Mus musculus: one gene and its partners. The protein of the gene in region 1 interacts with the protein of each later gene in a pairwise test. Links are inferred from orthologs where the notes say so. Each region holds a gene or a part of one and is shown in the gene's direction. Other genes may lie near its edges. The genes, in order: Pnma5, Zmynd19, 1110051M20Rik, Prkaa1, Vim, Ccnc and Wdyhv1.

Region 1 (4,507 bases):
CTGGGATTAAAGGCGTGCGCCACCGTGCGCCACCACGTCCGGCTGCAAGAACTTTTTTCTTTTTTTTCTTTCTTTCTTTCTTTCTTTCTTTCTTTCTTTCTTTCTTTCTTTCTTTCTTTCTTTCTTTCTTTCTTTCTTTCTTTCTTCCTTCCTTCCTTCCTTCCTTCCTTCCTTCTTTCTTTCTTTCTCTTTCTTTCTCTTTCTCTCTCTCTCTCTCTCTCTCTCTCTCTCTCTCTCTCTTTCTTTCTTAGGTATTTTCTTCATTTACATTTCAAATGCTATTCCAAAAGTCCCCCATACCCCCCCACACACACACACTCCCACTTCTTGGCCCTGGCATTCCTCCGTACTGAGGCATATAAAGTTTGCAAGACCACATATTCGGGAACTTTCAGAATAGCATTTGAAATGTAAATGAAGAAAATATCTAATTAAAAAAAAAGTAGCTACTGCCCGCTTAGGTTTCAAAACTGACAGATCAGCCCCAGCCTACTTCAAGTGCAGGGATTAAAGATGTGCTCAGCCATACCCAGCAAGGGGCTGTCTTTAGATTCTTGAGCAGACTCAGAATTAGCACAGCCTGCGTGGGCAGGGACATTCAGGATAGACCATGTTAAATATTCCTTTGCCTTGCCTTGAACAGATCAGTGGGCAGGAACCAGCACTGCTTGTCTGGATAGAGCCAGAAGACTGCCAGGATCAAGCACCAGCACAGGAAAGTCACCATAGCCACACTTCAGTGGGGCACTCTACAGAAGACAGCAGGGTGAGCATCTATTTTGGGAATAGCCTCTAACTGTAGCAGAAGACTGGTGAAGGGGTTTCTTGCCAAGATTCACAGACTGCAGGGTAGGGCCATACCTGAGAGTTGTCTTTTACTTTCTGGGGTCTTTTTTTTTTTTTTGCCTCTGATTCCAGATTCCATACTATTGTAAACCCATATGCTTAATTTATCAGCACTCGCTCCTCAGTCTCTGCCCTATCCTACTCTCCACACCTGTTGCTAAGATGCTTCATTAGTTGGAGAACCATGGCATCACCTGTTGTCCATAAAAGGCCTTAACCTATGTGGTAACTTATGGTAGAAATCTAGATTCACACTGTTCTTGTGTCCATGTCAATACTTTAGCTTGTCGTACGTTCTTTGCACTCAGCACTGTGATCACATCTGCTGAGTTCTAGTCATCTTTCTTATCTGTTGAGCATTTCTTCAGGTGGAGGAGAGTTTATGTGTTGCCAATCTTGAACCTAACAAGGAATGGGTTAAATCCAATATAGCACTGAGTGGGTGGCAGAGTGCTCTCCTGTTCTTTCCTCCACTGGCATTGGTCTTTGCCTCCTGACATTGGCATTTTCCCCACAGGTACTTGCAGAATGCACAGTAGTGTCCCTGGACTTGCAAGGAGGTTGCTGCAACCAAAGGTCAGCAGGGTTCAGTGAGGTTTGGGGAGCTTTCTGTGATTGAACAAGACTGAATGTCTGGGAAAAGGAAAGGTGATGGGAATCATTAAGTAACATCTTAACTTCATTTGCATTTCAGGTTGTGGAAACCAGGACATCACTGCCTTTCTATATGGCATTGGTTTAGAATCTTTGAGTCCTAGTGTTAGGTCTGCTGATAGAGGGAGGGAACAATGGCCGTGGCTCTATTAGATGACTGGTGTAAGGGGATGGATCTGGATCCCAAGAAGGCTGTGCTCATTGTGGGCATCCCCGTGCAGTACACTGAGGCTGCGATAAATGATGCTCTGAAAGAAGGCTTACCTCCCTTGTGTGCATACAAGGTGATAGGCAGGATGTTCAGGAGGGAAGATGAAGCTAAGGCAGTCTTAATTGAACTGCCTGAAGTTGTTGATTATACTATGATGCCTACTCATATACCAGCAGAGGGTGGGGCCTGGGAAGTGGTTGTCAAACCCCGTAGCCCAGATGATGAGTTTATGAATAAGTTGATCTACTTTCTAAGAGATGAAGGACGGAGAATAGTAGATGTGGCCAAAGCCCTGGGGTTTAGCACTGTTCCTACAGGGAAAATAGAGTTAAAGAATTTAGACCAAGACAAACCAAAAGGCTTGAAGTCTCTGTGTAATAATAGCACATGTTACAAAAAACTGAAAGTATTTTCTGGCAGTCCCTTTCCAGGCCCAGGAGAAGAAAGCTTTGAAACCTGGTTAGAGGAGGTCACTGAGCTGATGCAGTTATGGCAGGTGTCCGAGAGGGAAAAGAAGCAGTGCCTTCTAGAGAGCTTGCGTGGCTCTGCCCTGTCAATCATGCAGGCACTGTGGACTAGCAATGACTCCCTAACCGTGGAGCAGTGCTTGAAAGCCCTAAAGCACATCTTTGGAAATAAAGAGGACTCTAAGGTCTTACAGTTCAGGTTCCTTCAGTCTTCTCAGAAACCTGCAGAGAAGGTATCTGACTACTTGCTACGTTTAGAGCCCCTGCTGCAAAAAGCAGTGCAGCAGAGCCCACTGTCAGCACACAGTGCAGATTCAATTCGTCTCAAGCACGTCTTATCTCAGGTCTCCATGACCACTGGCCTTCGGGGAAAGCTCTCCCTCTTAGATCAGCAAGGGTGCCCACCTACTTTTCTGGAATTAATGAAACTTACTCGAGACGAGGAAGAGTGGGAAAGCACTGTGGTAGTGGAGGAGCAGGAGCAGGTACGAAGGGACAGCAGCGCATGTGAGGCGGCAAATGAAGTTGTCACCCAGGCAGAGGATTCTAGGGAGGTCAGCACCCAGACCACAGGAGAGGAGATGACATCAGTGAAACGGAGGCGACTGCTCTGGAGACACAGTGCTGGGGAAGAGGGACAGAGGAAGGAATCAGGTTTCTGGGCTGAAAGTGAACCCGATGAGCAGAAACCTTATGTTAGAGCACAGGAGTCGGGGAACGAGAGAGGGGCTTGGGCAGTGAGCCACCCTAACCCCAAGGAAATAGAGGCTCAGGACAGCCAGGAATTCCTTCCTGTGGCAGGCAACAGAGATACTTTGACAAAATCATGGGGCAGCCCAGACAAAGGAACAGGGGACATGAGTGTTGCAGAAGGGCAACAGGGCCAGGGTAAGGCACCCAACTTCTTACTAGCTAGAAATGATCCCAACAAGCAAGAACAAATTCCACACAGCTCAGTGACTACCAAATGGCAGGACCGTGGGGAGTGTCAGAGACTGAAATGGGGAGCTAGTATGATAACTAGACCACAGGGTAATCCAGACCGCAGTTGGGATACTAGTGGGTCACAAGATGGTGAGGATGGGTGTTCTGAGCTAAGAATGCCCACTGGCACTGAAGCAGCACAGGGTGTGGAGGAGCCTGCCACAGGGTTGTCTTGGGCAGAGGACACCAGTGCCTGGGAACAAGCACGGCTAGGCAGGGAGACAGTACCCAGGAGAGGAGGCCGCAGGATCCAGCCTGTCTTCAGGATCATCTACACAGCTCTAGGGGAGCCCCATGAGGGCAGCACCCTTGAGTCCTTTCGTGAGTGAACTCCCCCCGCTCCTGTGAAACCTGCAAGCCTCAGGACCCAAAGGACCCGGGAGGCAAGTGCCAACACAAGGCAGTTTCCTTCTTGACACCCTGACAGGACACTAGTGCCTGAGAAAAGCCCCAGGCTGGGGCACATGGCACCACAGGGTTAATGCCCTCAGCTGGCCTGAGAGCCTGGGAGTGTGCAGGACAGGTTTTGTGTGAGCAAACAGGAGCAGCAGAAAGAGGACTCTGTGTGTGGGGCGGGGGCAGGCAGGGGGCGGGGGGGGGGAGAGTTTGTTCTGCTCTCTTTTGTCCAGGGCTGCTGGAGAATTCCAGAGAGCAAGCAGGGACAGGCAGGTGAATACAACTCTGCCAGGCAGCTGCCAAGGCTGGCCCCAAACCCTGCCGACCTGGAGGGTGGCCTGGCAGCTTTGCCGAGGTGCCATCCTCCATCTGCCACCCATAACCAAACAGGTGGACATCACAGAAAAGGCCATCTCAAGGGTTCTGCCAACTGCCTGGCTCTCCCAACACAAATGCCCCTTCCTCTTCCCTTTCCCCTCTCCCCCTTCCCCTGCCACTGCTGTCCAGAGGCAGGCTGCCCCCTGCTCTGGAACCCCGCCCCCTTATCTGTTAACCTCATAGTGACCCAGCTGTCCAGTGAGTCCCTTCCCCTATCACGTGCTTACCCACCATCAGCTGCTCCTGTATAAAGCTGTGAGTGAGGGCAACTGGAGGCCCTGACTACCTACCTGGTCAGCCACTTCTACACCCTGGCACGTGTTGTGAGCTTCTGTGCCAGCCTAGGCTACGCTAGCTGCTCTCTTACCCACCTGGTGTTGTGAACTCCTTGTCAGCTTTCCTAGTGTACATCTAGGCCAGCTGCCTGCTGCTTGTTCTCTTGCAGATGTGTGTGCTAACCTGAGTTCCTGAGCCTGGTTCTGGAACCATGGATGTTGACAAGGCTGATGACTTCAACTTGGGACTATGTGTGATATTCCTCTCCTGTTATTACTTATAATTTTACTTTCTA
Region 2 (3,500 bases), on another chromosome or scaffold:
TTCTACCCAAAGTAGTCAGACTAACGTTATCTTCTTTAAGTCTGGGAGTTTGTGAGCTTTGCCACTAACCCAAAGGAGTGACTAATGTACATATCACTTTAAACAACTAGTGGGATTTTGATGAGATGAGACCCATGGATCCTTCTGGTGAGTCATAGGTTACATCCTTAGAAACGGGGTCATTGATCATAGATGGGTAAGGTGGTTTGAAATGTTGGTATCCAAATGGGAAACTTAACTCTAGATAATTTTGTTGGTTTGAGGGTTCTCTCTATTGTCCTCTGAGGCAAGTTCCCTGTCTGTGTGGGCCATGATGATGTGCTTGGCTTCCTCCTGGTATGCCACTTCAGAATATGGGCCCAGTTCTGACCAGATAACTGGTATTCCTGTGTGGCTGGGTATTGATGCTTGAATAGAGGTGCTTGAGGCCTCACCCTCAAGAAAAATGTCTTTCCCTAGGGAACGACACAGGGGAGGTGTGGCTCCCGGGTTTCAGGTGGTACATCTCAATGCTGTGACTGTGGACAATCGCCTGGACAACCTGCAGCTGGTACCATGGGGCTGGCGACCCAAAGCTGAAGAGACCTCCAGCAAACAAAGGTGGGTCTTCTCTGGTCAGCACCTGATACTTGAAGGGCTGTCCCATGTTTCTGTGTTCCTGTTTTGTGCTTTTACTATGAGTGCTTCGGTACCTTGATACCCAACCCACCACTGGCCATGTGTGAGAATTCTTCTTCATGGGAAAGGGAAGAATCTTTCATTTATGTAGGTAGCCCTTGCTGTTTAGGACTTGCTATGAATACCAGACTTTGAAATCAGCAGTCCTCCTCCTGCCTCCCCTGTGCTAGGATTAAAGATGCATATATACCTCCATGCTTAGCCAGAAGGATTTTTATGATTAATTTTTGGGATTGACCTTGTAGTAATTGACTCTAAGAATATTTTAGCTGATGTGATGGAATGAGACCATGCCCCAGGACCACACTGAGACAGGGTGGGTCTCCTTTGGTGAATAGCTTTCCCTGAGCAGAGGAAGTAGTAGGACAGTGTAGTTTAGGGATGTGACCTCTTGGCTTCTCAGTTCCCTGTGGTCCTGAAAACAGCATTGTACAAGCTTTTCTATCCTGGAGGCCATGTTCCTACTAACCCTCAAACTCACCACAGTGAATTTCAGGAAGCCCTGGAGAGGTGCTGGAGGGACCAGCAGGAAATGATTAGGGAAATTTGACCTCATAGTCCCAAGCCACACAGGTATCATTGTTCTGCTCATAGGCGTCCCCTGAGGGCGCCTGGAAGTATCTGTACAAATAGCTTTTTTTTTTTTTTTTTTTTTTTTTTATTTTGGTTTTTCGAGACAGGGTTTCTCTGTGTAGCCTTGGCTGTCCAGGAACTCACTCTGTAGACCACGCTGGCCTTGAACTCAGAAATCCACCTGCCTCTGCCTCCCAAGTGCTAGGATTAACAGCATGCACCACCACTGCCTGGCTATATACAAGTTCTTTGTTTGCTTGTTTGGTTTTTTTGAGACAGGGTTTTTCTGTATAGCCCTGGCTGTCCTGGAACTCACTCTGTAGACTACGCTGGCCTCGAACTCAGAAATCCACCTGCCTCTGCCTCCCGAGTGCTGGGATTAAAGGCGTGCGCCACCACGCCCAGCTCAGTCGGTGCTCTTAACCACTGAGCCATCTCGCCAGCCCTGTATACAAGTTCTTAAGTCTTTTTTTTTTTTTTTCCTGAGACAGGGTTTTTCTGTATAGCCCTGGCTGTACTCACTTTGTAGACCAGGCTGGCCTCAAACTCAGAAATCCGTCTGCCTCTGCCTTTCGAGCGCTGGGATTAAAGGTGTGCGCCACCACGCCCGTCTAGTTCTTAAGTCTTTAAGCAACCTTCTTTGGCATTTACCACCTCAACGGATACTAATAGTATTGACAAGGTTGTCATTACAGACAGTGGGTAGATGTTTGTAGTGAATGTCTTCAGGTGATGCTAGTGCCCCATGTACTGTAGGGAGGAGATGTGCGAGTATGTGTCTGTACTTGATAGTGCTGGTCTCCAGGTCTTTAGAAGACAGGTGCCAAGCTGCTTTACTCTGGCAGAATGTGAAGGCAGCCCTAGGAGGGTCTCAGACCTCTCATCTCCTTCCTTTGTTGTCTACCTGATGTCAGAGGTTTTGAGTCTTCAGTTCTGTTTTCACCACTCCTGTCTGTCCATCCTTTCTTCCATCTTTCTTTTGAGATTTGTATATCTTGGGCTGACCTCAACTTGCTGTGTAGCTGAGAAACTGAGACTGATGTTGCCCTTCCTCCTGTGAGGCAGACATCCTATTCAGTAGGGTCCTGTGCTGAATGCTCTATTTAGTCTCCTGAACACACCTTATGATCATGATAGGACCACAGTTAAAGCCTATTCAGAAAGGGGCAGTTACAGTTCTAGGGGTAGAGGGCTGAGGTGTTTGGTCAGGTGGCCTGTTGGACCTTTTCTCAGCCAGTTTTCAGAGATAAGTTTGGTGGAGGCTGTGCCCTTCAGGTAGGTAGTAGTACATACCTTTTACTAGCAGAGGCAGGACCAGATTGGACCAGGATCCATGAGCATGTCTGGTATGCCAATGTAAGGGGAAGTAGAAGATGGGGATAATGAATGTGTGTGTTGGGAGGGAAGTGCTTGGTACTGTGGGCATTTGTGTCAGAGGAGGATGGCCAGTACTTGTGAGGGAGAGTGCGTTATTCATAAGGCTCAATTAAGCAGCTCCTGTGGAGAAATCAGCTATGCCTCTCCAAAGTCCCACACAGTCTGCTGCGCTCACCTGTGAGCAACCAGCAGTCAGTTTAGGGCTGTCCTAGTTAGGTTTCTGTTAGTATGATAAAATACCATGACCAAAAGCAATGTCACAATCTATTGTTGAGAGAATTAAGAGCAGAAATTCAAGCAGGAGTCTGGAAGCAGGAACTAAACCAGAGACCACTTGGGAGCACTGTTTATTGGTGTTCTCTCCATTGCTTGCTCAGTTTGCTTTCTTACACAATCCAGACCAACTTGTCTTAAGAGTGGTACTGCCCACAATGATTTGGTCCCTCCTATATTAATCCAGAAAATGCTCCACAGACATACACACAAGCCAGTCCGATGGGGTTAATTTCTCAGTTGATTTTTTTTTTTTTTTTTGTATTGTTTTGTTTTGTTTTTTTTCGAGACAGAGTTTCTCTGTGTAGCCCTGGCTGTCCTGGAACTCACTTTGTAGACCAGGCTGGCCTTGAACTCAGAAGTCCACCTGCTTCTGCCTCCCAAGTGCTGGGAGGAAAGGTGTGTGCCACCACCACCTGGCTTCTTTCAACATTTTGTTTTTAAGAATTTATTTATGAGCCAGGCATGGAGAGATGGCTCAGTGGTTAAGAGCACTGACTGCTCATCTTAAAAAAAAAAAAGGTTTTATTTATTTATATTATATATATATATGTGTGTGTGTGTGTCAGTACACTGTTGCTGTCTTCAGACACACCAAA
Region 3 (4,652 bases), on another chromosome or scaffold:
AAAATCAGATTTCTTGGGAGTAAGACAACATGGTCATCGTTAACAAATACCATCCTAGAGATAGGGTTGTAGCCAGTTGATAGAGTGCTTGACTAACATGGCTGCTTTCCATACCAGCTTCAAATAAAACAGACTTGGTGTTCCATGCTTATAATCTCAGCAATCCAGAGATGGAGGCAGGGGGATCAGAAGTTCAAGGTCATCTTTGGCAACCTAGTGAGTTTCAGGCCAGCCTGAGATATGTAAGACTCTATCTCAATTTTTAAAATTTTATTATTACTCTATTTACATTACAATAATAATAAGCCCAATATGAAAAATCATTAAATTTCTATACCCTCAAGCTGCATGGAGGAGGGGTAGAGGAAGGAGAAGTTAATTATTTTTAACAAAACTTGCAGGACTTCATATCAACAACTACCAACCTGGAAAATTCATTACCTCAGAACACCAAACACTGTCCCTTGTGTGGCTCTGTCCCTTTCTCCTTACCACATCCAAATTCAGAGTGACTCACAGGAGCCTAGAATTGAGACATATATACAAATTTAAGGGAAAGGGAGAATTACAAGGTCTGAGTAGCTCCTTTGGGGAGACTAAGAATAGGCCCCTCAGAACATAAGAGAAGAGCCTCCTCTTTACTTACTCCAGTGTAGGTGGTCTGTGGGATTCCCAGTCACTCCTTTGATGACATCAATTTCGTTTTCTTTCTTTGTCACAAAACCTCTCCTCTTTCGAAAACTTCTCCTTGTTGAAGGGGCAGGGACTTACTTCAAAACAAAACAAAACAAAACAAAACAAAACAAAAGTGAGGATCGAGTGGCTTTTTCTGCTAGGTTTGGACTGTGACACTGTACAGATCTCTTTCCTGTTCTTGCACAGAGAGAGGAGATAAGAAAATCTGGTTATTTGAAAAGAAAGGAATAGTCTTTCTTCTTCAGAAAGGATAGAGCTGAGGATATGTAATAAATGCTCTAGTTTCTGACCCATTTCCTTTGAGAAATGAAGTGACTTTGTAGGAAAAAGGAAAGGCACTTGGACAAGATGTCAAATAATAGGAAGTAGAAGCAGTCTCAAACGGCTAAAGGGAATTTGAGAGGAATGGTCATTAACTTACAGAGGACTTGATGAGTAGTTTTAAAAATTGCATTTTACCGGGTGTAGGGGCACACACCTTTAAAACATTAAAACCTCTGAGAGCTGCAGGCTCAGGCAGATCTCTTAAATTCAAGGCTATCCTGGTCTACACATCAAGTTCTAAGCCCGACTGGGCAATACAGTGAGACCCTGTCGAGATATATATTTGGGGCAGGGGATTTGTGGAGGTCAGAGGACAACTTGGAGGAGTTGGTAGGCTGTTTTCACCACATGGGGTCCCTTGGATTGCTCAGTGGCCCTTAGTAGTATCTCTATGCTAAAGACGTATCCCCGACCTCCAGAAGCTGCCAAGATACAAAGAACATTTTGTACCAACTTGAAAGAGTAAATCCTAAAAGTGATTAATAATAGATAATGAGATCTCAGTGTTAGGCGAGGCCATACATGATCATTATTGTTAGAATAAACAGAAACTATGAAATCCAGAAATTGCAGATATGAGCCACTGATAGTAATTCTTCAGCATCACAAAATACGACACATTCAGAGAATTTAATTCACAGATTCTAAAACCAAATCCCAAAAATAGGAGTTAAAGAAAATCAGACTCTAAGTGACTGCTTCCGGAACTTGTGTGATAGGCTCTACGTTGCCAGTCGGAGACTGTTTACGTGACACCCTCTCAGCCTTCTAGTTCTCCTCTGGCCGCCTGGGTGCCATGGCAACAGAGACAGGCTGTAACCTGGGTTCCGGAAGAAGAAAGCTGGAGCGTGGAAACTACCCGGTCAAAGGATGCTGAGTCCCGAGCGCCTAGCTCTACCGGACTACGAGTATCTGGGTAGGGGCTTTTTTCAGCGTCGGGAAAAGAAAGGAGTAATGTGTTAGGGGAAGGAGTGGGTAGGAGACAGGGGCGGAGCCTGAACGGTAGCGGGTCTGGATGGGACGGGAGGACAGAAAGAAGGGGTTCTAGGGCCTGAGCCTGAATGTAGGGCCAAACCTGGATGAAAAATAACATTTATGGAGTAAAGAATGGCTGAATTATATGGACTGGCTCTCAGGCAATGAGGACTGCATTCTAAGTAACACAATTAAGAATCTGAGGCCCCAAACAAGGCTATTATTGATAGGTTTGTATTGACGCAAACTTGGCATCTGAAATGACTTCAGTCATTTTGTAAATAATAATTTTGCCTTCATAGTGCACGGTTATTTCGAGCTTTTCATTTTCATTAGGCATTCTGCACGAGGTAAGCATTTTGCATGCAGCATTATCATAGAAGGGATTGCTGTGTTTGCTACTTTACAGATGGAGACACTAAGGCTAAAGAGACAATTGCATAAGACCTCATACAGTTAGTATTAGGATCAGATTTTCCCCTTGCAGAACTTGACCTTACCCTTGAGCTAAGGCTGTGTGGTACTAAGTACTGTACTTTGCTAAGCACCCTGCAGTGAGTGTGTAACACATTTACTGTATACGTTTGTGTATACACTTATTTTTTTAAAACATTTTTTATGATATTTATTTTTTATTTATATAAGTACACTGCAGCTGTCTTCAGACACACATTAGAAGAGTGCATTGGATCCCATTACAGTTGGTTGTGAGCCACCATGTGGTTGCTAGAAATTGAACTCAGGACCTGTGGCAGAGCAGTCAGTGCTCTTAACCGCTGAGCCATCTCTCCAGACCTTGTGTATACACTTATATGCACACATACACATTTAAAAGTTCATAGCTTAAACATTTAGAGTAGTTTTAAACTTAAAGAGGACTGAGCTGATAGTAGAGTTTTTTCCCTCTGTATCTTCTATTTAGCTTCTATTATTAATTTCTTGTGTTAGTGTGGTACATTTCTTGCAACTGAATATTAGCTCAGTGTGATTACCAACAGCCTATAGTTTATATTAGGGTCCACTCTTTGTATTGTACAGTTTTCTGGACTTGGACAAATTCATATTCTCATATATCCACATTAAGATGTAAAACAATCTTTTCATGGTTAAAACTCCTCTGTGCATCCCCCATTCATTCACCCCTCTCCTTGCTCCTTTCCTTTCCATGACTGATCTTATTGACTTCTAAAGTTTTGCCCCTTTGAGAATAATGGGAATCATTCAGTGTATAAGCTCTTCAGATGGCCTCTTTCGTGTTTCAGTAGGTGTTTAGGTTCCCCCTTGTCGTTTTGTGTCTTGATACTCATTTCTTTACATGGATGAATAACATTTTATTATATGAATGTACCATACACATTTTAAAATAAAATACAACTCTGTATACATATTTTGTTTATGTTTTGAGAATTGATCTCACTATGTAGCCTTGGTTGGCCTTGAACTCACAGAGATCCTCCTGCCTCTGTCTACCCAGTGTTGGACTCAAAGGAGTGAGTTTCCAGACCTGGCAGATGGTTAAAATTTCTTGATCATTTGAAAAGTTGATTCAAAATTGTTTTTTAAATAAAAAGATATTTATCTTGGGGGATGGAGAGATAGCTTAGCAGTTAAGAGCTCTTGCTACTTTTCCAGAGGAACTGAGTTTGGGCTGTAGCACCTACCTACCTACCTGTGACTCCAGCTTCAGAGGACCCAAGGGCCTCTTCTAACCTCTGCATGTGTGTGTGTACACACACACACACACACACACACACACACACACACTGAGGAGGGAGGGAGGTGGAGAGAGACAGAGCGAGTGTGGGAGACCTAATTGAATAATTAAATAATTTTTAAATACAACAAAATGGATGGCTCCTGAGGCATGGCACCCAAGGTTGACCTGGACTACACACACACACAGTCACACATACATACACTCACAGTATCTTTCTCATACCTGAAGTTGTGTTCATACAAAAGAAAAAGGTGATAAAACAACTTCACATTAACTGATGCACATAGTGAGAAGTGACTGCAGCAGGAATCCTGCTGGATGAAACTGGGATTAAAGCCAAAGAACTGAGTTATAGCAGGAAGTGTGTCGGGACCAGGAGATCACAGCTTTTGTACCCAGTGGTAGCTGCTTCCTATGGAAGCATTTTCTTAAATGAGGTTCCTCCTGTCAGGATGACCTTAGCTGGTGTCAAGTTGACATACAACTACTCAGCAGAGTAATAGCACAAATAACTTTATATCTAATGCATAACAATGTCAACACAAACACTTTGGCTAAAGATTTTATGTATTTTTTTCACTTACTCATGAGCTTGCAAAATATTTGAACATCCTAATTCCTTGTTCAGTTCCTTGGATTTTTGCTATTTAAAGTACATATCTCAGAGGCGTGGTATATTGGTAGACTGCTACTTGGGGCAAAGAAGTTGGTCTTTTTCTAAGAGGCATAAGTGCAAGACTAATTTAGGGGCAGTGTTGACAGTCTGTGAGTAGATTCATTGTTTCAGGGCTCTTGAAAAGTTTCAGTGTTCTTGGAATTCAACTAGTCCTTGAACCCTGGACAAACGTTCCTTCTGCTCTGGTGTGTGGTTAACAGTCTTAATCTTAGTCTGCACATTCCACTGTCCTAAGCAAAGTCAAGCTGCTCACAGACTTCCTCA
Region 4 (3,905 bases), on another chromosome or scaffold:
ATAATAGAAATAAATAAAAAAAACAAGTGGAAAAACAAGTCCATCTTTGGAGGAGAGTGTTGGTTTGCAAGTCACAGTAAAGTAGTTAGAATGAAGTGCTTTCATTTTTGTCTCTGGTGGGCGAATTGAAAGCCAACCAGCTGTAAAGGTGGATAAGCCGCTGAGAACCTGCCTACTGCAGTACTCACTCCCGAGGAATGCTTTACTTAGGCGAACATTAAAAAATGTAACATGATGGGCAATCCTTGCTGGTAATTCTACACCTTCTCATGACACCATCTCAAGAAAACCAAACCAAACTAGACCGCACAGAGAGCAGAACAGAGTTACAAGTGTAACGTCACGTGTAGTTGTATAAGTATTCAAATAGCTGGCATTCATGTAGTAGCTTCATGTTTTATGAGGAAGGAAACTAAAGAAGTGGTCCTTTAAAAAAACAGACCAGCTGAATGTATTGCATGCCTATAGCCTGAGTATCGCACATGGATGCCAAGACAGGGCTATATAGGCCTGGTATCAAGGAAAATCGAGGTGAGGTGAGGGGCAAGAGGGTTATAAAAAGGGAGAAGGAAGGAGAGAGACTCATTTATGTTCAGTCTTGATCTAGATCTGCTAGAGATTGAAGTGTAAGACTGCTGAACTCTGAACTACTATCTAGCACTAAAGGACGGATGTATTTTCATTAGTTACTTTTTAAATAGCGTGAAAACAAAATTTAATTTGTGTTTTATTTCCTTGTTTTGTTCAAGGTTCAAGTTCCTCCTCCTCCTCCTCTCCTTCCTCTCCCTCCTCCTCTCCTTCCTCTCCCTCCTCCTCTCCTTCCTCTCCCTCCTCCTCCTCTTCCTCCTCTGTGATAGAGACAGTTCATTAACAAAGAGAAGGCACGCCTAAATTTGGAAGTGGGGTAGTGGTCTGGGAAAAGATATTTGCTTAAAGTTGTAAAATTTAATTTAAAAGACAGACTTTATTTTAAACCATATATGTATGTGTGTTTGTGTGAGGGTATGTGTACATTAGTGTAGGTGCTGACAGAGGTCAGAGCCCCCCAACCCCACCCCCCCAATCCTCACCCTTCAGCTATTGCTACGGGCAGTTGTAAGCTGCCTTGTGTGTGTGTGTGTGTGGGGGGGGTGAGAACTAAACCAGGGACCTCTATAAAAACAGCGCAGGTTCTCAATGGCTGAGACATCCCTCCAGCTCAGAGAATTTATTATTTTTTTCCATTTTTTAAAATTAGGTATTTACTTCATTTACATTTCAAATGATATCCCGAAAGTCTCCAATACCCTCCCCCAACCTGCTCCCCTACCCACCCACTCCCCCTTTTTGGCCCTGGTGTTCCCCTGTACTGGGGCATATAAAGTTTGCAAGACCAATGGGCCTCTCTTCCCAATGATGGCCGACTAGGCCATCTTCTGATACATATGCAGCTAGAAACACGAGCTCCGGGGTACTGGTTAGTTCATAATGTTGTTCCACCTATAGGGTTGCACACCCCTTCAGCTCCTTGGGTACTTTCACTGGCTCCTCTATTGGGGGCCCTGTGATCCATCCCATAGCTGACTGTGAGCATCCACTTCTGTGTTTGCTAGGCACCCGCATAGCCTCACAAGAGACAGCTATATCAGGGTCCTTTCAGCAAAATCTTGCTGGCGTAGAGAATTTATTTTTAAGATCAACGCTTTGGCTAGGCTTGGTGGTGCACCTTACCCAGGAGGTTAGACAGCAGTTTGTCTCCAGCTCAGGCTCCTTAGTGAGACAGGGCCAGCTTGGGAATAAATAAAATGCTCTTGCAAAAACAAGCAAGCAAAGAAAGAAATAAAAAACAAGTAAAAGTCAAAGCAAACAAAAACACATTGCTTCCTCATTGCTGCTGAAACACTAATGAGGTAGGGGAGGCCTGTTGCTCGCCAGTGCCCACAATCCCGTCCACCTCAACCATTTCCTTGTTTAAATGCTTCAAATGGTGATGGACCTAATTTAAAAAAAAATCCCTGTGCTTTCTATGTTCATGTGCTTATTTTTTTTTGACTGCTCAAAGAAAAGGTAATGAAGTGAATTAAAAAGATTCATTTGTGTTTTCTATCTTAATTCCTTTGATTTGAGAAAAATTCAAAATCTAGATGCTACAGGGAATATAACTAAAGAAAAAAGGCATGCGTCATGTTCAAGCATGCATAAAATGGGCTCTTGGGGAAATGTACAGTTTGGATGTCTTTCCTTGAGGTCTGTGTGAATAGGAGCACTCATTTTGAGAACAGTGTTTACTGCTGTCTATAGGAAGGAAGCACTCTCGTCACTCTGAGGGTTCGTTTTCCCCCTGAAGGCAGCCTCGGATGATTCAGCTGGTTTGCAGCTAGTTAGAATCCGTGTCTCCAGTGCTTCCTTCACGTAGACGCACTCACGCACGAAGAGGGCGAGTGTTCTGTGAGCTCCACTGCCCTTGGCTTGCTTCTGCAGCTCCAGCTTCCTGAACTGTGATGTGAGGGTTTTAGGAGAAATGGGTTCAGAGTCTGTCACTACAGACTTGAATCATGGGCCCAGCGAGTTGGCTCAGCTGGTAAAACATTTGCTGCCAAGTGCCTAGAGTCTGACCCCTGAATCCTGGGTAAAGGTAGGAGAGAACTGATTCCACAGAGCTGTCATCTCAGCTCCACACCCACTGTGGCATGTGCACACCATACACACGCACATGCATGTGCACACACACACACACACACACACACACACACACACTAAAAGTTACTTAAAGGTGAGGGTGGGGGAACAAAAAAGGTACTTAAAAAAAACTATCCCTGTGGCTCAAATCAACATTGATCATGATGGCTCAAGGGTTGACCTTATTGGTAGGAAGTTTGAGGGTCATAGTAAGGTAGTACAATTTGACCCATGGATCACAAGTTACAAAATAGCTTATTTTTAAACAGGTAATACTGATAAGACTAGTATCTTTATGTGTGATGTGCAACAACCACTATAGATACCATATTCTGACCACTGATTTCTTTAAAAATTATTTTCTTATATTTTTCATAAAGTATTTGTATTTGAAGAGTGTTGACCGATGCTTTTTGATATTGTGATTAATACAGTTAGCATTCTCTATGCAGATTGTACGCAGGCCCCGAGGTGGACATCTGGAGCAGCGGGGTCATTCTCTATGCTTTGCTGTGTGGAACCCTCCCTTTTGATGATGACCATGTGCCAACTCTTTTTAAGAAGATATGTGATGGGATCTTTTATACCCCTCAGTACTTAAACCCTTCAGTAATCAGCCTTTTGAAACATATGCTGCAGGTGGATCCCATGAAGAGGGCCGCAATAAAAGATATCAGGTAACTCACTTTATCTGCCTACTTGACCAACCAGCCAACAAACCATCTGTCTGTCTGTCTGTCTGTCTGTCTGGACTGTGTAGTCTTGGCTATCCTGGAACTCACTCTAAAGACAAGGCTGGCCCTGCCTCCCTCTGCCACCCGAGTGCAGTGCTAGGATTAAAGGCGCGTGGTATTACCATTGCACAGCAATATTAGGTGATTTTTAAACCAATGTATTTTTCTACCTTTTCGAGTCTCTAGATACCAGAGAAATTTCATTTTATTTTTTATTTTTATTTTTATTTTTTTTTTTTGGTTTTTTCGAGACAGGGTTTCTCTATATAGCCCTGGCTGTCCTGGAGCTCACTTTGTAGACCAGGCTGGCCTCGAACTCAGAAACCCGCCTGCCTCTGCCTCCCGAGTGCTGGGATTAAAGGCATGCACCACCACGCCCAGCTGAAATTTCATTTTATTAATGACACACTTTTCTTGTGGCAATATACTTTGAGTCATAGGAAATTGATTATTGTGCTCAATTGAGTATTGAGAAATGGCTGCATTGTGTATCATGGTTTAACCTGATAGTTT
Region 5 (4,500 bases), on another chromosome or scaffold:
AAGAAACTGTAATTTTTCTATCCGTGCTTAATCACAAAGGGCCTAACTTCCCTTTCTTGAAAAGTCCTTTTCCCTTGGAGAACGGAGACCCCTTAGTCTTGCCTAGAAGCAAACGTGAAGCAATAGCCTTGAGCTGGTCATTTTCCCTTTGAAAAGGTGACAGTCGCTGCATCTCAACACTCTGAACCTTTTGTTTTGTGGACAGTTGTCGCCATTTCAAGTTAGATTTCATGATTTTTCTTTGTGGAAAATAGGATCTGTGGCGTTGCCCAGACAAGTCACTAGAATCTTCTCCCCTGCATCGCTGCTCTAAAATCTACAGAAATCTGTTTCTTCAGTTTATCACTTGAGCTACATAACTGCCTTTCTTCCGAACTCATTCACCGAATTGGATTTTTTAGCAAAACCCAATGGTTTCTTGTCCGACTTGCTTATCTTCTAATGCAGTCCACTTTCAGAAAGGCCGAGATCACTGGGCTTGCTTTTGAAATTACCAAAGTAGTTTCCTCTTTCACCCAGAACTTAGGGTGTGGTTTCATGCAGGAAAGAGAGAGAGAGAAAGAAAGAGAGAAAGGGGGAGGGAGGGAAGGAGGGAGGGAGGGAGCTTTTGTCGTCAGGGGTGGGGATGGGGGTAGGGGTGTGTGGATGTGTTTTGTGGCTCTCCCGGGTCTGCAAGAGTTTCTTTCTAAGGAGAACTCTCCACACTTCCCCAACAATCACAAGAACGGTTATTCTCAAAGTTGGTTTAAAACTTCGGACAATGAATGAGCTTAGCGCTCTTGGAGTCTGGAGTCAATCTCAACTAACGGTTTTCCTGAACCGCTAGACGATCTCACCCTCAGGGCTCCATGAGTCATATCCACTGACTCAGCGACCCCACCCCGTCCCCTGGGCTTTACTCCAGAGGCAGTGGCTCCTAATCCTCTCTAGTTGAACTGAGTCCGTTAGATCAGGGGATATGACCACGTCAAACAAGCCCTCTGCAAAGGTCTTGAGCCAGATATCTTGGGCTGTGTGCTTCTCCACCCCCAATCTCGGGCCCTCTTTGTTTCTCTCTCCCCGGCTTCCGATCTGCAGGACTGCTTTTGCAGGCTCTTCCTGCTCCTCCGCTCTCGGATCTCCCCACCCACCCAGTCCCAGAAGACCGCAGATCTGCGACTGCGACCACGCCCCTCCTACCAGCGCGCCTAGTCCCACGCCCCTTTGGCCCAGTGCCAGGGATCGCTTTACTCAACTTTCCAGAGCCCCCCTTCCTTCCCCCATGAATCCTTCCCGCGATCCCTTCTTTCTCAGCACCCAAGGGTGAGTAGAGAGTTCGGGTGATCACCAGGAAAGCCCCTGAAAGGCCTAGCACTTCCAATTAGTAACAGGACTGTGCTTGATACCCTACAGCCCTGGAGGAAGGCTCGAGGGGAGCTCCCTCCCCCACCCCCCTTCCTCACTTCTTTCCGGGTCCCCATTGGCTGGCTCGCTCGGCGGCTAGGATGGCAGTGGGAGGGGACCCTCTTTCCTAACAGTGTTATAAAAGCAGCGCCCTTGGCGTTGTCCAGTCCTCTGCCACTCTTGCTCCGGGACCCCAGAGACCCCAGCGCTCCTACGATTCACAGCCACCGCGCCCTCATTCCCTTGTTGCAGTTTTTCCAGCCGCAGCAAGCCAGCCCACCTTCGAAGCCATGTCTACCAGGTCTGTGTCCTCGTCCTCCTACCGCAGGATGTTCGGTGGCTCCGGCACATCGAGCCGGCCCAGCTCCAACCGGAGCTATGTGACCACGTCCACACGCACCTACAGTCTGGGCAGCGCACTGCGCCCCAGCACTAGCCGCAGCCTCTATTCCTCATCCCCCGGTGGCGCCTATGTGACCCGGTCCTCGGCAGTGCGCCTGCGGAGCAGCGTGCCGGGCGTGCGGCTGCTTCAAGACTCGGTGGACTTCTCGCTGGCCGACGCCATCAACACTGAGTTCAAGAACACCCGCACCAACGAGAAGGTAGAACTGCAGGAGCTGAATGACCGCTTTGCCAACTACATCGACAAGGTGCGCTTCCTCGAGCAGCAGAACAAAATCCTGCTGGCTGAGCTCGAGCAGCTCAAGGGCCAGGGCAAGTCGCGCCTGGGCGACCTGTACGAGGAGGAGATGCGGGAGCTGCGCCGGCAGGTGGATCAGCTCACCAACGACAAGGCCCGTGTCGAGGTGGAGCGGGACAACCTGGCCGAGGACATCATGCGGCTGCGAGAGAAGTAAGGCCTGACCTACGCGAGTGGTGGGGTGTGGGAGGGAGGGGAGTCCTGGGCCTTGCACTGGGGCTGCCACGCCCTTGGGGATGTGGCTGGGGTGGCGGTTGTCTGGAGGATAGCAGAGGAAGCGGGCCCCACCCTGAACCTAAACTTTGCAGTGAACATTTCTCTTTTCGCCTCACTCAAGCACTTCCATTGAACTTTTTAGAAAGTTTCTTAGGTCCTTCTTCTGGGCTTACAGTTACCAGACAGGAGGAAAGAATGGGTGTGAAGGGTTCCAGACAAAGAGATGGCAAAGGCATCTGGGATATTGGGACAGGGGATTGGCTGTAATTGTAAGGGAAGGGCAGTGATTGTCTTTTCCAGTGTGCCCCAACTCCAGCTAACACCTGCAGAGAGCTGCCACCTCGACAAGTTGCAGTAACTACTGTGGGTGGAGGTGTCACAGCAGCTCTGGACTCAAGGCTTGGCGGCATTTGTGGTTGGGTGTGGCCGCCCCGCCCCTGGCGGTTTTCCAGTTCCCCTTTGATTAATGTGCTGCTGCTTCAGATTGCAGGAGGAGATGCTCCAGAGAGAGGAAGCCGAAAGCACCCTGCAGTCATTCAGACAGGTTTGTAGACTTCTTTTTCACATGCAGCCAGCAGCCCAATGGAGCCAACCCGCGAGCGGTTCTAAAAGTTACTTCCCTTAGGTTTTAAAAGGTGCAGAACTTCACGTCTGCTTGTAAAGCCCCCTGGCGGCGGAAAGCGCACAGATTGAAAAACTCCACTATTTAGGGCAGTCTTTGGAACATGAAGGCTTTATTTTCTGCTTCGTTTCCAGATTTTTCTGATCCCCCACACCCCCGAAACATTTCTCCTTTCGTTTTTTGAAACATATCGACATTCGGATATTGAATGGTTACAATTTGATTACATTGTGGATTGTGAAGGTGAAATTGGCTAACTTTCACAAGGTCATAAAAACCACAGTTGCTTCCTCCAGTTGGAAATGTAGAATACTCTGGAGGATGAGAAAGTTTAACTGGAATTAAGCCAAGTTCCCTTTCTTCCTTCGAAGTTCGGCACTGCGTGAAAGTTAGCAGAAGAGTCATTGCACAACCATTTTTGAAATCTAACAAGGGTGAAAAGAAGCCATCTGTTCCCGTAGCTCAAGGGTGTTAAAGGTTTCTATGGGCTTCACTATGGAATGTAGATAGGGACGTTCTGGCAAATGCGGTGGCTCTGGACAGAAAGAATAGGGGCCTTTGTGTTCCCAGAGCAGCTTTGCAACAGGCTACATTCTTATTGAATATGTAATGATGTAACCACAGTTCCAATTGGACACAAGTATTTGCTAACATCCATTATCTTGTGTCTGGGCCAGGCTTGTGAGGTATGCCGTGTACAAAGTTCTTAAAGCTAAAGTCCTCCCTCACATTTGGAAAGGCCCCCTTTTAGGGGGGTTTGTAGACTCATTAGCACCCTCCACAAACAAAATTAAACCCTAAACTGAAGAATGGAGTATTTTATGGAGGGAGGATTTGTTTGTTTGTGTTTGTTCCAGGGTTAGGCATTACCTTAGCATCCCGAAGTGGACAGATGGCCAGTTCAGTCTTGTTTGGAACACTTGTTAGGATCAACAGCCAAACTCTCCAGATGAATGTTCTAAGGTAGCATTCTGAAGGCATTTGCATCCTTAATGGCAGTAGACGAATATGCAGCCCCTTTCAGTCACTGGGCATTTTCAGTCATCACCAAAGGAATGTTTTCTACAAAGCACTGAGTTAATACACACCATCTCTTATTTGTGGACTAAAAATTGTTTCATTCATTCATTTAAATGAAATGACACATTTAGCTGAACTTTTTCGAGAAGGTTAGTCCAATATCATTTATATATTTTTTGATGGCTTAGCAGAAGTCAGAAATGAATGATACTACTATTTAAGTTCTTATATTCTTTTTTAAATTAGTATTTTCTTTGGGACTGATAGAGTAACTCAACATTATAGTTATAAACTATACTGCAAATACAGTTGCTTACAAGGGAAGTTTCCAAACATTTCCTTGAAAGGAAACAACATTTCACATGCAAGATTGAACAGTCTGTCTTAAAATAGATCACTTTATAAAAACTCTGCAGAGAAGTTTAAGTATAGTTTCATTGTAAGTGTTTTGATCTGTCATCCTAAAACAGACAAAGTCATTGAAATAACACTGTGACAGCTGGGACAGGCAGAAATACCCTATAGGCTGAGCCAGGGTGTTTTACACATTAAAAAAATT
Region 6 (3,905 bases), on another chromosome or scaffold:
TTTGAAAACTGTTCTTAAAAAATTATCTGTTGGGCTTCTGTTAATATTTCAATAGACTTACCTCTTCTCACCTTGCAAGGAATTTGTTTATTCCATTAAGTATCGATAGTTGAAGCCGGGCATGGTGGCGCACGCCTTTAATCCCAGCACTCGGGAGGCAGAGGCAGGCGAACTTCTGAGTTTGAGGCCAGCCTGGTCTACAGAGTGAGTTCCAGGACAGCCAGGGCTACACAGAGAAATCCTGTCTCGAAAAACCAAAAAAAAAAAAAAAAAAAAAAAAAAAAAGTATAGTGATAGTTGCACTGTGCATTTGTCAAATAGAAAGTATACAGAAATTTTTGAAGTTTTTTGTTTTGTTTTTTCAAGACAGGAGTCCTCTGTTTAGCTCTGGTTGTCATGGAACTCTCAAACTTGCTATGTAGACCAGGCTGACCTTAAACTCAGAAATTTAAAGGCATGTACCACTATGCTGGCTTAAATTTGAAGTTTCTAACATTTATAACTTTTTAATTTATTTATTTATTTCTTTATTTTTATAAGAATTCTCGTTGTGGCTTAGTAGCAAAATAAGTGTTTACAATATTAGAGACTTTGGGTTCAATTCCAAGACCCCCCCCCCCCAAAAAATATAATATACTGTCTTTTCCTCATAAGAATTTAAAATGTATTATATAACAGTAAAAAGCAATTTTTGCCAGGCATAATGGCACAAGCCTTTACTCCCATCCCTTGGGAGGCAGAGGTGGATGGAGCTCTGTGACTCTGAGGGAAGCCTGGTCTACATCATCAGACCCTGTCTCAAAAAACAAACAAAATTAGTAATTTTTTATTGTAAATGTTAATGCTAACATAAGCTACTGTGTTTATTTTTTGATTTAGAAATTTTATATAATATTGATGAATTATTTAATTTATCTGTATCTGTAACTTATTTTTTAAAAAGTAGTTATGTAATTATGCTTATTTTCACTGGTTTTTTTCTTTTTAAACAGATACTAGAATGTGAATTTTACCTCTTAGAATTAATGGTATGTATATTTTTCCATAACACAGCAAAAACTTGATGGGTTGTATTGAAAGGAGGTTAAAATTTAATATATCCAAATGATATATTATGGCAAAGTCATAGAAACATAAGAGTAACATCCCCTATTTCCTTTCTGAAGGCTGTAAAATAATTTATCTTACTTGGGCTGCAAAAAAATTATTTTTTAGTTTTCTTGTAACTTTAATAAGGGTTACAAGCAAGTAATCCAGGACCATTGTAAATTCTGTGTACAATTTATGCGTGTATGTAGAGTTAAAGATGGGTTAGGCTTTGTCAGCATCATGCCCCTGCAGTTGAGAAGTATGGATGTATAGCCTAGTAATAGGCTACAGTGTGTTGCAAATGTGGCCCTCTGAATCTCTAGGGAAAGAGTGGATGCTGACTGGGTACCATGTGATGTACCAAGGTGTATTCCAGAGGGAGCACTGCCTTCACTGTTACAGTAGCATACGGTCATATCTGAGTGAGAGTATAAAGAAAAAGAAAGCAAGTATGAGAAAAAGAAATTCATTTCAAACACAAAACAAGTTGTTGGAAAATGATACCATTTTATGTTGTAATACATCTGTTTTTATACGTACATATTTTTAAACTGTTTCTAGGACTGTTGCTTGATAGTGTATCATCCTTATAGACCTTTGCTCCAGTATGTGCAGGACATGGGCCAGGAAGACGTGCTGCTTCCCCTTGCATGGTAACTAGACCAGAAGTTACTCATAGGCTACTAGACAAGGGGGCTGACAACGAAATACATGGCTTAATATACTAAAATGTCCCAAGTCATTTTATATTTAGGAAGATATCTGCTTGTTAAATTTGAAATACTGTAGTAGTATAAGTTATAAAGTCATATATATATTGAATTACCTATTTGATAAGGATATCTGTCAATGTTTTGTATGAAAAACAGACTTTACATGAACATTAAAAATGAATTTACTTTTAAAATAATACATTTTGTTTACTTTTGACTTTTTAGAATGTGAACAACTATTTTACATTATCTGTTGTGGGGTCTCAAAGTGGAAACTATACTGCTACATGAGTTTTATATCCAGTAATGCCTGTCCCCTTGTTGTCACACTCATGCATTCCATTGCTTAGTCTCTGTGTGTCGTTAATCAAACAGGGATGTAAGTGTACAAAGATGGGAGGGAAATCTGGTTCTCTGGGGAAGAAGTTACAGTCGATGAAGCAGCTCTGCGTTTAGTAACGATAGAGTTTACGTTTCTACAGGAGGATAGTGAATGATACCTACAGGACGGATCTCTGTCTGCTGTACCCTCCGTTCATGATCGCTTTAGGTATGAAAATTTGCTGTGCCTTTATTGGATAACTATTTGTGCCTATTTAGGTCATCCTAGAATACATTTCAACTGATTTTTATGGGTTTTTGTAGGAGTAGACTAATCTTGAATGTGAGTTCTCAATGATATACACTACAACCATCCCAGATTAGCATTATTTTCCCCCTTCTGCTTTTTGGTAAGGCTTCTTCCCCCTTAATTCATTTAAAATAATTTTAACTAGTATCTAAGCAAAGTTTTTATTTGTTTAGGGAGGAAATTCAGAACTAAGTCTCCTGATACTATTTGTCTTATAAATAACTGGTTCTGTTTTCTATTTCTGGATCCAGTTAAATACTCAAGAACTTAAGGAAAAAAGCATTATGCTTCTGTTACTAGGAGAGCTTAGCTGGCGTTCTATGGTGTGTAGGAAGCATACAGTGATGGGCTCAAATTGTCTTGGGAGTTAAGTAGACCAGATTTAAACATTCCTTACTTTACAGTTGTAAAAACAATTTTTTTGAGTTTGTAAAAATTGTGGGAGGGATAATAACTTTATAAACAGTTAAATGATATATCCTGTAGAGCACCGGCTATCTATCTATTTGTACAAAGACTTAATATATTCTGCTCCCTTTTTTTCTCCTTCTCCTGTTGATTTTCATGACTCCTAAAAACCCTTCTCCTTTTTCTTCGTTTTCATTCTCCTCTTCCTTTTCTTCATCTTCTTCCTCCTCCATTCTCTCTTTTTTTTCCATTTATGTCTTTTTAATTTTTCTTTTACATTTTTTGGGGAGGGTTGTTTGTTTGTTTGTTTGTTTGTTTGTTTGTTTGTTTTGAGACAGAGTTTCTCTGTGTAGCCCTGGCTGTCCTGGAACTCACTTTGTAGCCCAGGCTAGCCTCGAACTCAGAAATCCGCCTGCCTCTGCCTCCGAAGTGCTGGGATTACAGGCGTGCGCCACCACCTAGATTTTGTTTTATATGTATGAATATTTGTACCCACATGTATGTATATGTAACACACACAAGCCTGAAGCCCATGAAGGCCAGAAGAGGGCACTAGACCCCCTGGAATTAGAGATAGTTGTAAGTCATCATGTGGGTGCTAGAAATTGAACCCAGCCGGGCGTAGTGGCACACTCCTTTAATCCCAGCACTAGGGAGGCAGAAGCAGGCGGATTTCTGAGTTTGAGGCCAGCCTGGGCTACAAAGTGAGTTCCAGGACAGCCAGGGCTATACAGAGAAACCCTGTCTCGAAAAACCAAAAAAAAAGAAAAAGAAAAAGAAATTGAACCCAGGTCTTCTGCAAGAGCAATAAGCACTCTAAACAGCTAAGCCGTCTCTCTCCAGTACCCCTTTTCAGTTATGTCATAAACATTGCTGGTTTTCAACCTTATACTAGAGGTTGATATAAATTAAACTTAACACTTCTGTGGCATTAGTGCCTTTTTTTAATGTTTTGTTTCTTTTTATTCATATGCATTGTTGTTTTGCCTGCCTGCATGTATGTATGAATGAGGGCATTGGATCCCCTGCAACTGGAATTACAGATAGTTGTGATCCACCATGTG
Region 7 (3,905 bases), on another chromosome or scaffold:
TTCCCTGGAGCTGGAGTTACAGGCAGTTGTGAGCTGAAATGTGGTGCTAAGAATCAGACGAGGACCCTCTAGAAGAGCAGTAGGCACTCTTAATCACCGAGCCAACTCTCCAGCCCTATTTATTTTTGAAACAGGTCCTTACTATTTGGCCCAGTCTGGCTTTGAATTCGAAGAGATATGCCTCTCCAGTACTGGGATTTGTAAAGGGTTATAGCGTGGTGTAAGAATGTGAGTTTTACAGAGGAGAAAAGTAGGTGCTTAGAGAAGCCAGAACATGCAAAGTTGTTTATCTCAGCTTCTGGAGTCCTGAGGTAGTGTGTTACTGGCCACAGTCAGCCTTCTGTGGTAGGTAAGGGCCCTCTGGACATGTGCACACATACAGGTTGGCTAGCAGCTGTTGACTGTACTAAAGCCACCTGTTAGCCCTCTGTCAGAGGAGGTGGTTAAGGTCTTCTCTAGTTATATCCTCATCAATTTTTTGTTTAAATCCAAAAGACAGCTGTTCACTTGTAATTATATTGATTAAACGATTGTTTGATTTCAGTGAGGAAAACATTTGGAAGCTCTGTGAGTACATCAAGACACACAACCAGTATCTGTTGGAGGAGTGCTATGCAGTCTTCATATCAAATGAGAAGAAGATGGTAAGTTGGTAAGTGATTGCAGAAGGAGATGAGGTTCAGGGGGACCTCAGAAGCCAAGTGCAGTATTGACGCTGTGCTGTCTATATGCTTTGGAACAGCAAGCTTTCAAACATTATTTTCATTTAGATTCAATTTAGAAGTATTCATTCCCTTACTCCTAGGAGATGAACTATGTGATGGTATATTTATGCAGATTGCGTACCCTTCCTTTCTTTTTGAGACAGTGTGTCAAAGTGTAGACCTTGGCTGACCTGAAACTCACTGTGTAGACCAGACTGGCCACAAACTTAGTGTCCTTCTGAGTACTGGGATTATAGGTATGCTCTGTGTATGGCTTAGAGCTTTTTAAAAATTGTATTGTTAAGCCGGGCGTGGTGGCGCACGCCTTTAATCCCAGCACTCGGGAGGCAGAGGCAGGCGGATTTCTGAGTTCGAGGCCAGCCTGGTCTACAAAGTGAGCTCCAGGACAGCCAGGGCTATACAGAGAAACCCTGTCTCGAAAAACCAAAAAACCCAAAAAAAAAAAAAAAAAAAAAAAAAAAAATTGTATTGTTAGAGTCATGTAACTCGGATTTGAAGTAAAGGTTTGTCTCTGAAGTTTAAGTAGAGCTGTAGTAAACTTTTGTGACTCATTAGAAGTAACCCATTGTGTTGTCTCATTTGGGGTTAATAGTTCTATGAAACAGGCAAGATTTATTTTAGTGACTTCACTTCTGTTTTTAGAGACAGGGCTCATGTTACCTAAGGCACTGTAGCCGCACATTCATTTTGTAGACAAGGCTGGGATTACAGGCATGTAATGCCGTGGCCTGCTAACTTTCTCCACATAAAAGTGAAGAAGGAAGGTAGGCAGTGGTGGGTGCATTTGGGAGGCGGAGGCAGAGGCAGGCGATTCTATGAGTTCAAGGCTAGTCTGATCTACAGAGTGAGTTTTAGGACAGCCTGGGCTACACAGAAAATTCCTGTCTCGAAAAACAACCCAAAAACATGAAGAAGGAAAGATGCAAAGAGGTCTCATGACTAACTGAATGGGAAGGCATGACTTGACTGGCCTTGTGTCTCCCAATCCAAACCTTTTTTTTTTTTGGTTTTTGGAGACAGGGTTTCTCTGTGTAGCCTTGGCTGTCCTGGAACTCACTCTGTAGACCAGGCTGGTCTTGAACTCAGAAATCTACCTACCTCTGCCTCCCAAGTGCTGGGATTAAAGGTGTGTGCGCCACCACTGCCTGGCTAATCCAAGCCTTTCTGTTCTCTGGAGGACACATAAACATTTTCATTTCTTAAAAAGAGACTTATTTACTTTTATTTCATGTGCATTGGTGTTTTGACTGCATGTATGTCTGTGTGAGAGTGTCAGTTCCTCTGGAACTGGAGTTATAGACAGTTGTGCGCCGCCACGTGGGTCCTGGGACTTGAACCTGGGTCCTCTGGAAGAACAGCTTAACCACTGAGCCATCTCTCTAGCCCCAGCATTTTTTTTTTAAAGATTTATTTATTATTATATCTAAGTATGCTGTAGCTATCTTCAGACACACCAGAAGAGGGCATCAGATCTCATTACAGATGGTTGTGAGCCACCATGTGGTTGCTGGGATTTGATTTCAGGACCTTTGGAAGAGCAGTCAGTGCTCTTAACTGCTCAGCCATCTCTCCAGCCTCCAGCCCCCGGCCCCCAGCCCCAACATTTTTTATTTTAAATTTTAATTTAGTTAGTTTAATTATTTTTTTCTGAGATAAGGTTTCACTATGGACCTTTGGCTGGCCTGGAACTCACTATGTAGACCAGGCTTCATATTCACAGAGAACCACCTGCCTTTGCTTTTGAGTATTGGGATTAAAGGTATGTGAGAGCATGCTTGACTGATTGTCTTTTTTTTTTTTTTTTGAGGGGGGGTAACATGTATGTGTGTTTGCCTACATATATGTCTGTGTACCTTGTGTGCACTGTACCTACCGAAGCCAGGAGAAGGTTGGAGTCCGTAGGAACTGGAGTTACAGATATTTGCTAAACTGCCCTGTGGATGCTGGGAACAAATCCTGGGTCCTCTGCAAGAGCAGCAAGTCCTCCACATTGCTCACCCAGCGGAGGATTAGTTTATTGCTCATCAGTGTACTGCTTTAGAGGATCTACAAGGATTTGAGTGAAACTCACGGATATCCTATATTTTGTAGGTACCTATTTGGAAACAGCAGGCAAGACCTGAGAATGGACCTGTGATCTGGGTAAGATGGCCACCCGAGCATCTCTGATGCGTTGTTCTGTGTGGCCTCTGAGTGACCAGTATGCTGTAGTGGAGACTACAGAATTGAAGTGACACTAGAGAAAGGCTATGACAATAGTTAGTAAAAGGATCTTCTGAGAAAGGATGCCTGGGGTAGAAGCACTATGGACATCCCCTAGCTGGGGGTGCTGTTCTGTGAGGTTGTGGAACCCATGAGACCTGAGGTCTAGGTAGCAGAAGTGAGTTACTGGGACTGGGCCCTGAAGGTTCTACCTACCTACCTACCTGTGGTTTTGACGGGTGTTCTCTTTTTCTCTTTCTCCTAGCCTGTTGTCATGTGAGGGACAGTTGCCTCCTGTTCTTGTTGCTGTGGACAGTCACTCCCGGCATTATGCCTTTCCCATAGGGTTGGTTTGCTGTAGTCTCTGAAACCATGAGCCAAAATAAACAGTTCCCCATTTAGGTTGTTTGTGTCAGGTATTACATAATAGCCTGGCTGCTTTTTTGACTTATCTGGAGACTGATTAAAAGTATAAGTTGCCTTGTTAGTTTATCTAGAGAAGGCTTCAAGATTTAGTGTGAGTTCTTGCGTGTTCTCTCTCTCTCTCTCACACACACACACACACACCAGGCTTAGTATTTTTTTCTGAATATTTATTTTATGATTTGTCTACTGCGTGTGCGTGCCTGAGTAGCAGGTGCACACAGAGGGGAAAACACAATCTTGTAGTGTTGCTTCTCACCTGCCTTGTGGAGGCAGAGTTTCTTTTGTTTCTATTGCCCTACTGTGGACTCTAGGCTCGCCAGCCTGTGAGCTTACAGACCCGTCAGCACCTTCCACCTCGGAGTGCCGGCATTGCCATGCACTGCCATACAATGAGAGTAAGAGGTAGTGGCGTCCATTCTGTCACCAGGCAGGGCTATGAGAGCTGACTTCCTCCTCCCTTGAGATGAGGTCCTTCTCAGGCAGATGAGAGCTTGTCTGCTTGGTTTGGTTTCCTTTTTTCTTTTTTTTGGTTTAATTTTTTTTCTTAGAAGA

Evidence for each region.
Region 2: the proteins of Pnma5 (region 1) and Zmynd19 interact in binary tests that used the Homo sapiens proteins (3 or more experiments, as listed by UniProt). The two-hybrid records come from large-scale screens. The link is inferred for Mus musculus from reciprocal best matches to the Homo sapiens genes PNMA5 and ZMYND19.
Region 3: the proteins of Pnma5 (region 1) and 1110051M20Rik interact in binary tests that used the Homo sapiens proteins (3 or more experiments, as listed by UniProt). The two-hybrid records come from large-scale screens. The link is inferred for Mus musculus from reciprocal best matches to the Homo sapiens genes PNMA5 and CSTPP1.
Region 4: the proteins of Pnma5 (region 1) and Prkaa1 interact in binary tests that used the Homo sapiens proteins (3 or more experiments, as listed by UniProt). The two-hybrid records come from large-scale screens. The link is inferred for Mus musculus from reciprocal best matches to the Homo sapiens genes PNMA5 and PRKAA1.
Region 5: the proteins of Pnma5 (region 1) and Vim interact in binary tests that used the Homo sapiens proteins (3 or more experiments, as listed by UniProt). The link is inferred for Mus musculus from reciprocal best matches to the Homo sapiens genes PNMA5 and VIM.
Region 6: the proteins of Pnma5 (region 1) and Ccnc interact in binary tests that used the Homo sapiens proteins (3 or more experiments, as listed by UniProt). The two-hybrid records come from large-scale screens. The link is inferred for Mus musculus from reciprocal best matches to the Homo sapiens genes PNMA5 and CCNC.
Region 7: the proteins of Pnma5 (region 1) and Wdyhv1 interact in binary tests that used the Homo sapiens proteins (3 or more experiments, as listed by UniProt). The two-hybrid records come from large-scale screens. The link is inferred for Mus musculus from reciprocal best matches to the Homo sapiens genes PNMA5 and NTAQ1.

What each region holds. Positions count from the first base shown.
Region 1 is NC_000086.7:73,034,202-73,038,708, reverse strand, and holds the start of Pnma5 (paraneoplastic antigen-like protein 5), read left to right. Parts: upstream 1-1,605; 5' UTR 1,606-1,634; coding exon 1,635-3,491; 3' UTR 3,492-3,545; exon of another isoform or gene 3,546-3,750; intron 3,751-4,381; 3' UTR 4,382-4,507.
Region 2 is NC_000068.7:24,952,777-24,956,276, forward strand, and holds part of Zmynd19 (zinc finger MYND domain-containing protein 19), read left to right. Parts: intron 1-459; coding exon 460-600; intron 601-3,500. UniProt on the Homo sapiens protein: May be involved as a regulatory molecule in GPR24/MCH-R1 signaling.
Region 3 is NC_000068.7:91,441,853-91,446,504, reverse strand, and holds the start of 1110051M20Rik (UPF0705 protein C11orf49 homolog), read left to right. Parts: upstream 1-1,790; 5' UTR 1,791-1,890; coding exon 1,891-1,936; intron 1,937-4,652. UniProt on the Homo sapiens protein: Regulator of the tubulin polyglutamylase complex (TPGC) that controls cytoskeletal organization, nuclear shape, and cilium disassembly by balancing microtubule and actin assembly.
Region 4 is NC_000081.6:5,171,098-5,175,002, forward strand, and holds part of Prkaa1 (5'-AMP-activated protein kinase catalytic subunit alpha-1), read left to right. Parts: intron 1-3,110; coding exon 3,111-3,335; intron 3,336-3,905. UniProt on the Homo sapiens protein: Catalytic subunit of AMP-activated protein kinase (AMPK), an energy sensor protein kinase that plays a key role in regulating cellular energy metabolism.
Region 5 is NC_000068.7:13,572,759-13,577,258, forward strand, and holds the start of Vim (vimentin), read left to right. Parts: upstream 1-1,552; 5' UTR 1,553-1,673; coding exon 1,674-2,236; intron 2,237-2,782; coding exon 2,783-2,843; intron 2,844-4,500. UniProt on the Homo sapiens protein: Vimentins are class-III intermediate filaments found in various non-epithelial cells, especially mesenchymal cells. Vimentin is attached to the nucleus, endoplasmic reticulum, and mitochondria, either laterally or terminally.
Region 6 is NC_000070.6:21,740,963-21,744,867, forward strand, and holds part of Ccnc (cyclin-C), read left to right. Parts: intron 1-992; coding exon 993-1,028; intron 1,029-1,650; coding exon 1,651-1,742; intron 1,743-2,284; coding exon 2,285-2,352; intron 2,353-3,905. UniProt on the Homo sapiens protein: Component of the Mediator complex, a coactivator involved in regulated gene transcription of nearly all RNA polymerase II-dependent genes.
Region 7 is NC_000081.6:58,147,790-58,151,694, forward strand, and holds part of Wdyhv1 (protein N-terminal glutamine amidohydrolase), read left to right. Parts: intron 1-544; coding exon 545-644; coding exon of another isoform or gene 645-652; intron 653-2,816; coding exon 2,817-2,867; intron 2,868-3,192; exon of another isoform or gene 3,193-3,905. UniProt on the Homo sapiens protein: Mediates the side-chain deamidation of N-terminal glutamine residues to glutamate, an important step in N-end rule pathway of protein degradation.